2 linked regions of the Callithrix jacchus genome follow. Each later gene encodes a partner of the first gene's protein in a complex. Links are inferred from orthologs where the notes say so. Each region holds a gene or a part of one and is shown on either strand. Other genes may lie near its edges.

Region 1 (5,764 bases):
TTTTCCCCCCTTTTTTTTATGTGCCTAGGAGATCAGCCATAACCTAGGAGTTTGCTACATTTATCTGAAGCAGTTCAACAAGGTAATTTATAGAAGTGGTGATGGATTTCACTGAGGGTGCACTTGCTGTTACAGTTACATTGCTCATTTTGTATTATCCTTGGTGCTTGCAGAGGTTTTTGGAACTGAAAATTAAAATTATCTTTATACATTTATTTCTGTTTTAATTTTCACTTGTCATTATTCATCTGTTGTTTTCTGCTTTTATAATAAGAACATGGAAAGTTCTAGAAATAGGAGAGAATGGCAGTTTTTCTCTTTCTTCTTTTTCTCTACCTCCAGTTTAATTTCCTAGTATAGAAACAAATGCTTAATAAAACATAAATATCAAAAAGTGGACCCTAAGTCTTAAAGGTGTAATCATGAGCATGTGAGTGATCTAATATCCTTACAGCAACTGATTTTAGTTTTTAGGGTCATTGAAAATAAATTTTAAGTGGATCTGATTTCTGAGTTTTAAAAGTTTTTAGTTATTTTCCATGATGAGAATTTATATTTCATTGTGATTAAGCTATAGGCTCCTATATCAGAGAAAACAATTAGAGCTTACCTCGGTACTCAGGTAAGGAAAAGTATATATCGTAATTGAGGAATAGACAGAATGTCTGAGAGCTCTAAAACTTAGTGATGGGAGCGTTGGGTAGTTTCCTTCATAGAGCTCACACTTAGTGATTGTGAAGTTTTATTCTCCTTTCTCCAGTGCCACCAGGACTGAGAATCTGAATTAGTACCCATCTGACAATGTTTAGTTTGTATCAATTTGCAGACTGGGATAACATAATCTATCCCACACTGGTGTAAAAAAAAATGCACATTAGCAATTGGGTTGTAAAAGTAACTTTTCTCCTGAGATAATAAACAATATATGTACATAAAATACATTTGGTGGGTCCCTTAGGTTTTGTAGATGGATCTACAGTTTTATATACTTGATTAGGAGATTTTTCTCTTCACAGACAATTTCAGACATTCATATTTCTATTCACAGCATTATTCTGAGTCAGGGGAAAAGAAGGATTAGTCTTTGGTTGGACCTGTACTGAGAAGAAATAGATTTTACTGTATAGCTAACAGGCTAGGCAAATACAATACTTACATTTATATAAATACTTGTTGTATCATTGAATGACAGAACACCTTTTTGTTTACTAGAAGGTAAACTCCTCCAGAGCAAGGAGTTGATTTTATTAATTCAAATATATTTAGCACCCAGAACAGCAAGTATTCAATGAATACTTGTTGGGTGAATAAATGAGAACAATCTATTTATTCATTTATCATCACATTGGTGGGGGAATGGGGGCCCACCGTAGAGAAATTTGTGCATTTGGTCACTGTTACAGCTGGGATTTAGTTTAGTGTAGTACTCTACATGTACTATGATGTTTCTTTTGACTTATGAAGTATGAGTCGTAGGTATGAATATCAAGCAGTAAACATTCAGAAAGATTAATCATCTTGCATAAATTCTTCCAAGTAGCTTCAGAAGCAGATATCCCATGTTGCCAGCTGTCTTTTCAACAAGGACAGTTTTGGTATGTTTTGGTCTTTGGGTAGTGGGGGCTCTTTGCTGAAATGTGATGTTCCTATGTCAATACAGCAGCAACTGTCTTTACATTAGCCATATCAAGTTATAGTTCTTTCAGTGGTAGTGATTTGGTTTTCTTTGCTTTGTCAAACTTGTCAGGCACAAGACCAGTTACACAATGCCCTGAATCTTAATAGGCATGATCTGACTTATATAATGCTGGGGAAGATCCACCTGCTGGAGGGAGACTTGGACAAGGCCATTGAAATCTACAAGAAAGCAGTGGAGTAAGTGTAACTGTTTCCTTTAGAACAATGAGAAACTACTATGTTTGATTAATTACTTATTGTATGAGTTAAAGGTGAAGCTGAGGTTTAAGTTAAGAGCTCCTGATGGCTTCAGTAAGGTAGACTGTGTTTCTTTCTCACCTCTCAGGATGGCTGCTGCTTTAGGTTAGCTGGGCAGCTCTATTCTACAAGGTGAGCCAGGGATCCAGGGTTCTTCCTTATTAACTCACCATTCCTTAGGTTTTTGTCTTTATCTGCAATGTTTGATGCTGAATGTAACATCCACATCCAGGCTGTGGTAGGAGATGGTATGGGAAGCTAAGTATGGAATAAGCATCTGGCAATAATTTTATATTTCTTTTTGAGACAGGCTCTTACTCTGTCACTCAGGCAGCTCACTGCAGCCTCAACCTCCTGGGCTCCAGCGATCTTCTCACTTTAGCCTCCCAAGTAGTTGGGACTACAGGCATGTGCCACATGCCCAGCTAATTTTTTTTTTTTTTTTTTTTTTGAGATGGAGTCTTGCTCTGTTGCCAGGCTGGAGTGCAGTGGCATGATTTTGACTCACTGCAACCTTCACCTCCCGAGTTCAAGTGATTCTCCTGCCTTAGCCTCCCAAGTAGCTGGGATCATAGGTGCGTACCACCGTGTCCAGCTAATTTTGTATTTTTAGTGTGCACCACCATGTCCAGCTAATTTTTGTATTTTTAGTAGAGACGGGGTTTTACCATGTTGGCCAGGATAGTCTCGATCTCTTGACCTTATGATCTGCCTGCCTCGGCCTCCCAAAGTGCTGGGATTAAAGGAGCGAGCCACCACCATGCCCGGCCTATCCAGCTAATTTTCAAAAACGTTTTTGTGTTGACAAGGCCTCGCTATGTTGTCCAGACTGGTCTTAAACTTCTGAGCTCAAGCAATCCTCTTGCCTCACCTTTCCAAAGTGCTGGGATTACAGGTGTGAGCCACTGCACCTGGGCTTGGTAATAAATTTCAAATGACCCAGAAATTGCACACATCGCTCCTGCTTACATTCCATGGTTCAAAACTACGTGAGAGTTGCAAGAGAAGTAGGCAGATGCACACTCAGGAAGAAGGAAATAACAGATTTAGGAGTTGGCTGACAGTCTGGCATTTTGGTATCATATGTTAGCAACAGATCTTCTGTTTTCAGAGATATTATTAGGGACAGAAATCTGATTCAGTAAAAAAACATAAGAAATGTTTGGCCTTTATTAGCATGAGACCAGTATCTTTTTTTTTTAAACATCACTAGGGTAATACAGACTTCCCTTGATAATGGAACTGATTGGCTTTCCCATGATGGTGTTTCATATTTTCTCTCTAGAAACACATGCTTTCTTTTCTGTTTAGGGTCTTGTCTTGTTCTTTCTTTCCTTTCTCCTTCCTTCCTCCCTGCCTCTCTTTCTTCCCTCTCTCCCTCCCTCCCTCTCTTTCTTTTCTTTCCTTCATTTCCTCCCTCCCTCCTTTCGTTCCTTTCTTTCATCAGAATCTCACTCTGTCACCCAGGCCTGAGTGCAGTGGTGTGATCTTGGCTCACTGCAGCCTCTGCCTCCCAGGTTCAAGTGATTCTTATGCCTCAGCCTCCTGAGTAGCTGGGACTAGAGGAGTGCGCTGCCACACCTGGCTTATACTTGTATTTTAGCAGAGACGGTGTTTTACCATGTTGGCCAGATTGGTCTTGAACTCCTGGACTCAAGTGATCTGCCTCCCTTGGCCTCCCACCGTGCTGGGATTGCAGGCTTGAGCCACTGCGCCTGGCCTTGTGTTGTTTCTTTTAAATGGGACAGCTGTAGCAAAATGCTTTGTCTCATTTGTTTGGTCACTTAACAGAATGTCTGGTCCATGGTTCAAGGTTTATTATTCCTAATAATTAGATTCTGAACTAAACTTAGATTGCTATTAATTTATTATCTTTGTCTTCTACCATGGTAGTAAATTTTCTGGTTATGTCAATGACAACACTGCTTTCTGAATTTTCTTCAACCACATTTTGTGTCTAAAAAGACAGAAAAATCACTTGGTTTGTTAAGCTACGGAAGCAACTTTTGTCATCAAGAAGCTGTATATATGGGCAAGTAGTAAGGAGCATGTAACATGTTAAGTGCCTCTGTGATGCTAGGTAGTAGCCCTGACCCCTGACCCCTGCCTTCTAGAGGTTGGCTCTTTGAGATTAGGATACATAAATCCCAAGGGGACATTCTTCCAGTAACCAATCAAGGACTTCAGTCACTAAATTTCCCAAGAGAGAAATGTGGACAGCTAAAATTTGAAGCCTTACTGAGAAGATAGAGGCCATTGTTCATGACATACAGCTTTGAATGGTCATGTTGTAGTGGGGGACTGATACGCTAGAATTATAGAAGTTACCTGTCTTTGGGGAGGGAAGTGATCAAAATGGATGTTTATTATGGCAAAAAGTGAAAGGCAGATTCCCAGTTGAATTGAGAAAGCTGTTTGGTCAGCTCGGGCCTTCCCTGGCTGGGGCTCTGCATCTTCTGGTTCAGGTCTCCCTAGAGGTAACCAGTGTCCTGTATTGTTCCTTAGAAGCATGAGACATTGTTCATAGCCCTTTGGTGTTTTACTGTTGGAGTTGTCTGATGATCCTATAATTAGATCATCCCAACTCAGTGTTGCTTTGGTTTTGTGACAAAGACATATTAGTGAGGGATTGAGCAGGCAGATCATATTTTGCTTAGATCAGCATTTACTTCCAAAGGTCAGGAGCACCTTCTTTCCTAGGATTGGTATGTATCTTCCTTCTTTTTTGTTTGGCTACTTAGTATAGCTTTTTGTTTAAGTGGAGAGAAGAGCATTATAGGAGCCTTGGGATCCAAAATTACATAGAAAATTATGCTGCCTGGCATTGTGAACACAATGAGAATAGAAAAAAAATCCCACAAGAGAGGACTGGTGAAACTATGTATAAGTTCTAGACTGACTTGGTTTATAAAGCATTGTTCTTTAATTTTATTAGTGTGACCAAGACAGTCATGCAAAATATTCTTTCTTAGGACTTTTACTCTAAGAAAGGAGTCTGAATTCTAAGCCCCATTTCTTGCTGAGCAGTTCTCCCTATTGCCAGGGTTGAGATGATCTACTTTTGATGGCAGTTCCCAAAGTGTCTTCAGGGATTTCCACGGGGAGCAAGAGGTTCAGTGGGGCCTGTCAAGTATTACACAAGGATACATTACCATGCTTGTGTCTCCGTGATTCTCATCCACATCTTGTTTCCCTCTGAGCATCTCTATGTTGCAGGTTCTCACCAGAAAATACAGAACTTCTTACAACTTTAGGATTACTCTATTTACAGGTAATGAAAATTCTTGACTCATTCATGCATTGATGTTAGAAATGCTTTTGGGTTTGTGTGTCTGGTGGTTTTCTTGCATTTTGATATTTATCTTACTAAAGGTCAAAGTACATGAACTACACTCTCTATTTGATAGTCTTTGTTAAAGGAATTAATTTTCTGCTTTTAAATTGGAAGTAATTCTATTTTACCTTAGTGCAATTATAATTCTTATCTTGGCTGGGCGTGGTGTCTCATGCCTGTAATCCCAGCACTTTGGGAGGCTGGTGGATCACTTGAGCCCTGGAGTTAGAGACCAGTCTTGGCAACATAAGGAGACCCTGTCTCCACAAAAAATACAAAAATTAGCCAGGCATGAATGATGACATGTGACTGTAATCCCAGCTACTTGGGAGGCTGAAATGGGAGGATTGCTTGAATTTGGGAGGCAGAGGTTGCAGTGAGCTGAGCCACTGTACTCCAGCTTGGGTGACACAGCCAGACCCCCATCTCAAAAAAAAAAAAAAAAAAATCCTTATGTAACGTGGGAAAGAGCATATATCATAAATAACTCTGGTG
Region 2 (6,093 bases), on another chromosome or scaffold:
TGTGCATACTGGCCTGCAGTCAGAGAGTAAGGGCTAATGTTGCCCAAGTTCTATTTCCCACTTACTGTTTTAGGCCACTGTCCAGCTGTTCCTTCTGGGCTGTTGCTACTACATGTAGCTGGAGTGTGGGCTTATATATTATAGAGCAGGGCTTCTAAATGGAGCATAGGCTATAATTCTGATTTGTTTTTCCCACATTCAAGTTACCGTTTTTCTATAGCTGATACAAGATTTTTTTAAATTGTCAAACATGGATATTTTGATAGATTCCACAGCTCCAGTTTGCATAATTCTGAATTATGTTAGTGTTTCCTATTTGGCTCACTGTTAAGTTTACAGATAATAATAATGTAGAAATAAATATTAAACTTCTAAATAAAATAAAATGTTTGCTTTAGTTTGACATCAACTTTTTAAATGTGATTATTTGGATAGTGCTAAAAAAAACAAACTCAGATTTGACATTGATGTTTTTATGCTTTTATAGAGTAGGGAATCCTTTCCAAAGGAATTAGAGGTATGCTGATTTTTTTTTTTAAAGGAAAACCCTTTAAAAGCTAATATGTAACCAAAAAATACCAAGTTTTAAATTTTTTTATTGACTATAGTTAGAAATTGTATCTGTTTTCATGGGTTTTTTTTTTCTTCATTACAGGGGCAGAAAGCGTTTTGTAAGCGAAGGAGATGGAGGTCGTCTTAAACCAGAGAGCTACTGAATATAAGAACTCTTGCAGTCTTAGATATTATAAAAATATATATCTGAATTGTAAGAGTTGTTAGCACAAGTTTTTTTTTTTTTGGCACTTGTTTTGGGTACAAGGCATTTCTGACATTTTATAAACCTACATTTAAGGGGAATTTTTAAAGGTAATGTTTTTTCTTTCTTTTTTTTTTTTTTGAGGGGCAAAGGAGGGACAGAAAAGAAACCTCTCCTTAAGTGGAATATTCTAATAAGCTACCTTTTGTTAAGTGCCATGTTTATGACCTAATCATTCCAAGTTTTGCATTGATGTCTGACTGCCACTCCTTTCTTTCAAGGACAGTGTTTTTTGTAGTAAAATCACTGGTTTATACAAAGCTTTATTTAGGGGGTAAAGTTAAGCTGCTAAAACCCCATGTTGGCTGCTGCTGTTGAAATACTGTGCTTTGGAAGTTAAAAAAAAAAAGAAAGTTATTTGTCTTAAAGAATTAAAAAAAAATTAGTCGTGAGACTTATTCATCTTTCTAGGGAACATACTGATTGGTCTTAAAAGACTACACAGTGAAGTAAATGGTGGCTGGAACATCTATTTTTCTACAAAACTGGAAAAATGAACCTGGTTCTAGAAGAATGTACACCAAAATAAAAGATGTGAAGCAGTGTTGATTCTTTATTGGGAGTACATTTATTTTAGATCTTTTAAACTTTAATTTCACACAGCAAATTTTAAATCTCATAAGGAAGCATATTTGAACTTAGTGAATTTAATCTTAGTGTTCCTTGAAAACTTTTTTTTCCTACAAACTTTTAAATCAAAAGTACAATAGTAAATTAAGAATACGCTCAGGAAAGAAATGCAGTATCACTTTCTTCCACTCTTACCTGATCTAGAGCTTAAATAAGTTTTAGAAATATGTAATACCTTCCATCATTCCATTCCTAAATTCTGTTACCAAATAATGGCTAGTGTTAAAAAAAGTTATTCTCCAAAGACTGAAAGCTTGACATTTACCCAATGTCTGAGAAAATATGACCTACCGATTAATAACAAAAGAATGATCATACTTTGAAACCACTTTTTTGTTGAGACAGAGTTTCGCTTGTTACCCAGGCTGGAGTGCAATGGCGTGATCTCGGCTCGCCGCAACCTCCGCCTCCTGGGGTCAGGCAATTCTCCTGCCTCAGCCTCCCAAGTAGCTGGGATTACAGGCACACGCCACCAGGCCCAGCTAATTTTTCTTATATATTTAGTAGAGACGGGGTTTCACCATGTTGACCTGGATGGTTTCGATCTCTTGACCTTGTGATCCACCCGCCTCGGCCTCCCAAAGTGCTGGCATTACAGGCTTGAGCCACCGCGCCCGGCCTCAACCACTTTTACATAGCCTAATAACTCAGCAAGCCCTCAAGGTGTATGCTAAACTGCCAAATATTGAATGCAGCAAACCGACAATTATATTCAGAATTTATGTGGGTACTATTAGGAGTATACCGATTGCAAGTTTAGATACAGTCTGTTAGAATTAAAACCAAGTTTAATGTTCATATTTACCTCATATTACCTAGGCTTATAATACAGTTAACATTTTTAGGTTTTTAATTGACACCTGGATGATAAACACCATTATGTAATTCTCAAGTCCTTAACATTAATGTAATTAAAAGCTTAGCTGATTACAGAGTAGGGGAGGGTTTCTTCAAAATGAGATTTAATACAGTTTTATCATTACTGGTAGGATCTGGTCACACATGACAGTATTAAATGTGACATGGCACCTAAAATTGGTTAAAAAAATTTTTTTAATTGATTTGTTTAATTCAATAATGTAAAAGCCCAACAAACACTTTATGCAACACTGGAATATATCTTCCAATTCAGATTTTAATAAATGTGTAAAGATCTATTAGTCCCTTGTGCCCAAGAATGTTATCTATAAGAGATAGCAACAGGAATGGTGAACAAATAATACACAGTTCTAAAAACATGAGTAAAAAACCCCATAAAATTTGGTTCATAGTAACTATGTTCAATACAAACCAGAGTGTTTACACTCACAATACAAATTTCATCAATCTTAGGTATATTTGTATTTATATGAATACTATCAATTTTATTGATAATATTAACAAATACTACTTTCAGCACACAGAAGCATATGATTTTCTAGTTACTGTTAAACAGTAGGTAAGACAGGTTGTTCCCTAAAGTGCTTCAGTTACCGTTCAGTGGGTTATTTGCCGTTGATTCTTTTCTGCCATTTCTTGTTGGCGAATTGTATCCTGTGCTGCTTGATGCATTTTCTCTAGTTTTTCCAGAGTCAGAGATTTTAAAGGTAAAAGTTTGGGTTTACACAGCACCATTGTGGTTATATCTTCCACAAACAATGGCCCTAAGTTTAATAAGAAATAAGAATTAAGAAAAGTAACCCAGTGGTTTGGTAGTTGGATTTGCAGCTAGAATGAAGGTCTAAAAAATTAATACGTTGTCACTGAAAAACTCTTGTACCTAAACTGAGTTTTGCTGTGGGACCAGAAAGATCATAGTCACCCTATAGGCAGCATTTCTTACTACTGGGGTGTTTCTGAGGAAAATAAGTTTTGAACTTTCTACCCAAGAATTTATGTTATCATAAGACAAAACTTTGTGTCAGAAGTTTTATTTTAAAATAAGATTGGGCAGGATATATATATGTAGTGCAAAAACTATAGCAAAGTATGGTATTTAACATACATATTCAAATGCCTGTTTAAACCTTCAGCTTTTCTGTCACTTAAGGTTTCTCTTTCTCCACTTTCAGACCTTATTAACATTATAGTAAATTCCATTATATCCTTCATTGAATTTCATATTGAGCCGGGCATGGTAGCTCATACCTGTAATCCCAGCACTTTGGGATCTCAAAGGGGTTGGATTGTTTGAGCCTAGGGGTTCGAGACAGCCTTGGCAACACAGTGAGATCCAGTCTCTACAAAAACAAAACTAGCCAGGCACAGTAGCACATGTCTGTTGTACTAGCAAATCGGTAGGCCAGGACATGAGCCCAGCAGTTCAAGGCTGCAGTGAGCTATGATTATGCCGACTGTATCCAAGCCTAGGTGACCGAGTGAAAACATGTTCTCTTAAAAAAAAATTCATATTGTAGTTAGCAATTTTAGGTATAAGTAACAATGCTTCATTTGTTATCCTTTTACTGGAAAGAAAAAAGTGAGGATCCCTCCTTTATAATATACTGATGAGAAAAGCATATACTAAGAGTAAACAGTAAATGAGACAATATGGAACACAACAGCTGCAGATGTTTAGCTATTAAGCCTGCTATGTGACACTGCCTATCACTTGGTTAGTCTCTGTAATAATGATCTCAATATTTGTGATGTACTACCTTGTTTTGGAAGAACTTCCCGGAACACTGGCTTCACTTCTGCCATGTTGGAGTTGTTGGATACAGTGTTTTCCCCTTGAATGAGAAATCAGTGTTATTCAAGTATAAACTCCCAAAGCAGATTGCCTGAGACATTTCCATTGTAGTTTAAGCAGTAAAATCCAAATTCCTATAGAAAGTGAACCACCCTTGCATAATATTGCCATTAATTTCCTGTGACCTTGGGATAGTTTGTATAAGCATCTTGTCAACTTTCATTAATCAGCTATGTTAACTACAAGGCTGGCGGGTGTTCTAATTTATTTTTCTCTCATAGTGAAAACTTGGTAGAGCTTTGGTTTTTAAGGCAAAGATGATTAATATCATCTGAGGAAAAGGTATGTGTGTGTAGCCAGCGTGGTTCATTGATAGCATTTCTCCTGAATGGTGGGTGACAAAAAAAACATGACCACCAGTTGAGAGGGTGAGGCAGGTAGTTACGAAAAGGAGGAAGTGGCAGGCAAACATTTCCTAAGATTCTTACTTCTTTCAACAAACAGCTAACAGCTGGATTCTACTTTGTGCCTAACACAAAGCATCCTATGGATCAGTTACTGGCTACACAGCTGCAATTTGTAACAAAGTAATGCAATAGGTGAAATTGGCTACTGAAGAATGGAAATATGGTGTGCTTTCAGCTTGCTATTTTCCTCTAATACTGAGATTCTATATGCTAAAGGACCAGCAAATACTTAACCAGGAGTATTTGTTATGAACATCCCAGCAAACATACCGTTTTTGCTAGTGATATTTGCTTCAAGTATTACAGCCAAGATTCTGCTATGCTGTATGCTCAAGGTGTTCTGGACTAAACTGTAGAATGATCCCTTTCCAAACACAGATGCTTTTCTAGACAGTCCCACCCACTCAGTGATTCACCTTGCTGATGCAACCTTAGCATGCCTCTTTCACAACATCACCCCCACAGATTTATTATTTATAAAGTGGTGATGCTGGCTTGGTGCCTACCTTTAACAACCCCTGCAAATTAATTACAATCAAGTGAAGCTGCTTCTGGTCTTTGTTATTCCCACTCCACTACTTTGACATTCCTAATAAAAGCTTTCTCCTCTGTATCCAAGTCTCTTCATCTCTCTTGCTCAGATTTTTATTCTGGAATGTCCAAGTTCCTGAAAACCTCTATCTGCTTTCCAGAACTTTATCATCAAGTGTCACCCCTATAGTGTTCTAGCAAGAAGGTGAAATAAGTAATGGACCAGGAATAAAGCAACTCACCACTTAAATAGAATATGAAGTAAATACAATGTGCAATTTCCTTAGACTGCACAGCTTCTCCTACCATATTCTTTCCTTTTTAGGTCTGCCAGTGGTACCTAGTGATCACTGCTTTTCTTTTTTCCAGGTTAGGATGAAGGCTAACAACACTACAGACCTGATTAGCCTTGAGTTGAGCTATCAAAAACACCACCTAGCCTCTCCATTAAAGACATCACAGTGAAAATATTACGATCAAATTTCCTTATTTGAAGCAAATCTGACATGGTATGCCACTGAAAGAGAGGACATTATAGATGTTGATAAATGTGAAGGGAATACATAGCAGCTAAGGATTTTTGTATGTATCACCAAAATGCTAAAGTGGTAGGTGAACAACTTTTAGCATAAGTAACTCCAGCTACTCTGAATTCAGTCACTATTCTTTGTTTTCTCTTAGTCTGATAACCTCTTTCACATCCAAAATCTGGCCTGACAAAAACAATGAAACTTGGTGCTCTACCAAACCTCAGTTCTGTTTGACTAAGCTGCCATTGTTACTGGAAAGGGTGTGGAGCCAAAGGGCTGGTAGGAGTGGGTTGCGCCTAGTGGGGGGGGGGGGAGATCAGTGCCAGTCACTCACCTGGGTAGAATCTCTGTTTTAATAGGGTTGGTTCTTGTTTCTAGGCCCCCTTAGGCATTGGCAGGAAAGAAACAGGAAGGGAAGGGCTAAAATAAGCAAGGTGGTGGTTGGAT

The links. The genes of interacting proteins can lie anywhere in the genome.
Region 2: the proteins of BBS4 (region 1) and BBIP1 are in contact, whole or in part, in a cryo-EM structure (PDB 6VBV), measured with the Bos taurus proteins. The link is inferred for Callithrix jacchus from reciprocal best matches to the Homo sapiens genes BBS4 and BBIP1. Residues at the interface, in NP_001069424.1 of Bos taurus: Leu210, Leu213, Tyr236, Leu240, Ala241, Ser244, Gln247, Thr248, Ser269, Pro271, Asn274, Asn275, Met278, Phe281, Gly282, Lys284, Tyr298, Leu299, Pro301, Leu302, Asp303, Trp304, Lys305, Ile306, Tyr308, Asn309, Leu312, Leu315, Thr316, Gln318; in XP_003587939.1 of Bos taurus: Met7, Phe8, Arg9, Glu10, Val11, Leu12, Pro13, Lys14, Gln15, Gly16, Gln17, Leu18, Tyr19, Val20, Glu21, Asp22, Leu28, Lys30, Pro31.

Annotation. Positions count from the first base shown.
Region 1 is NC_133509.1:19,622,649-19,628,412, forward strand, and holds part of BBS4 (BBSome complex member BBS4), read left to right. Parts: intron 1-28; coding exon 29-82; intron 83-1,747; coding exon 1,748-1,875; intron 1,876-5,151; coding exon 5,152-5,206; intron 5,207-5,764.
Region 2 is NC_133513.1:103,842,115-103,848,207, forward strand, and holds the end of BBIP1 (BBSome-interacting protein 1), read right to left. Parts: intron 4,159-6,093; coding exon 4,084-4,158; intron 3,091-4,083; coding exon 2,924-3,090; 3' UTR 1,370-2,923; downstream 1-1,369. Other genes in the region: PDCD4 (programmed cell death protein 4), read left to right, coding at 656-716.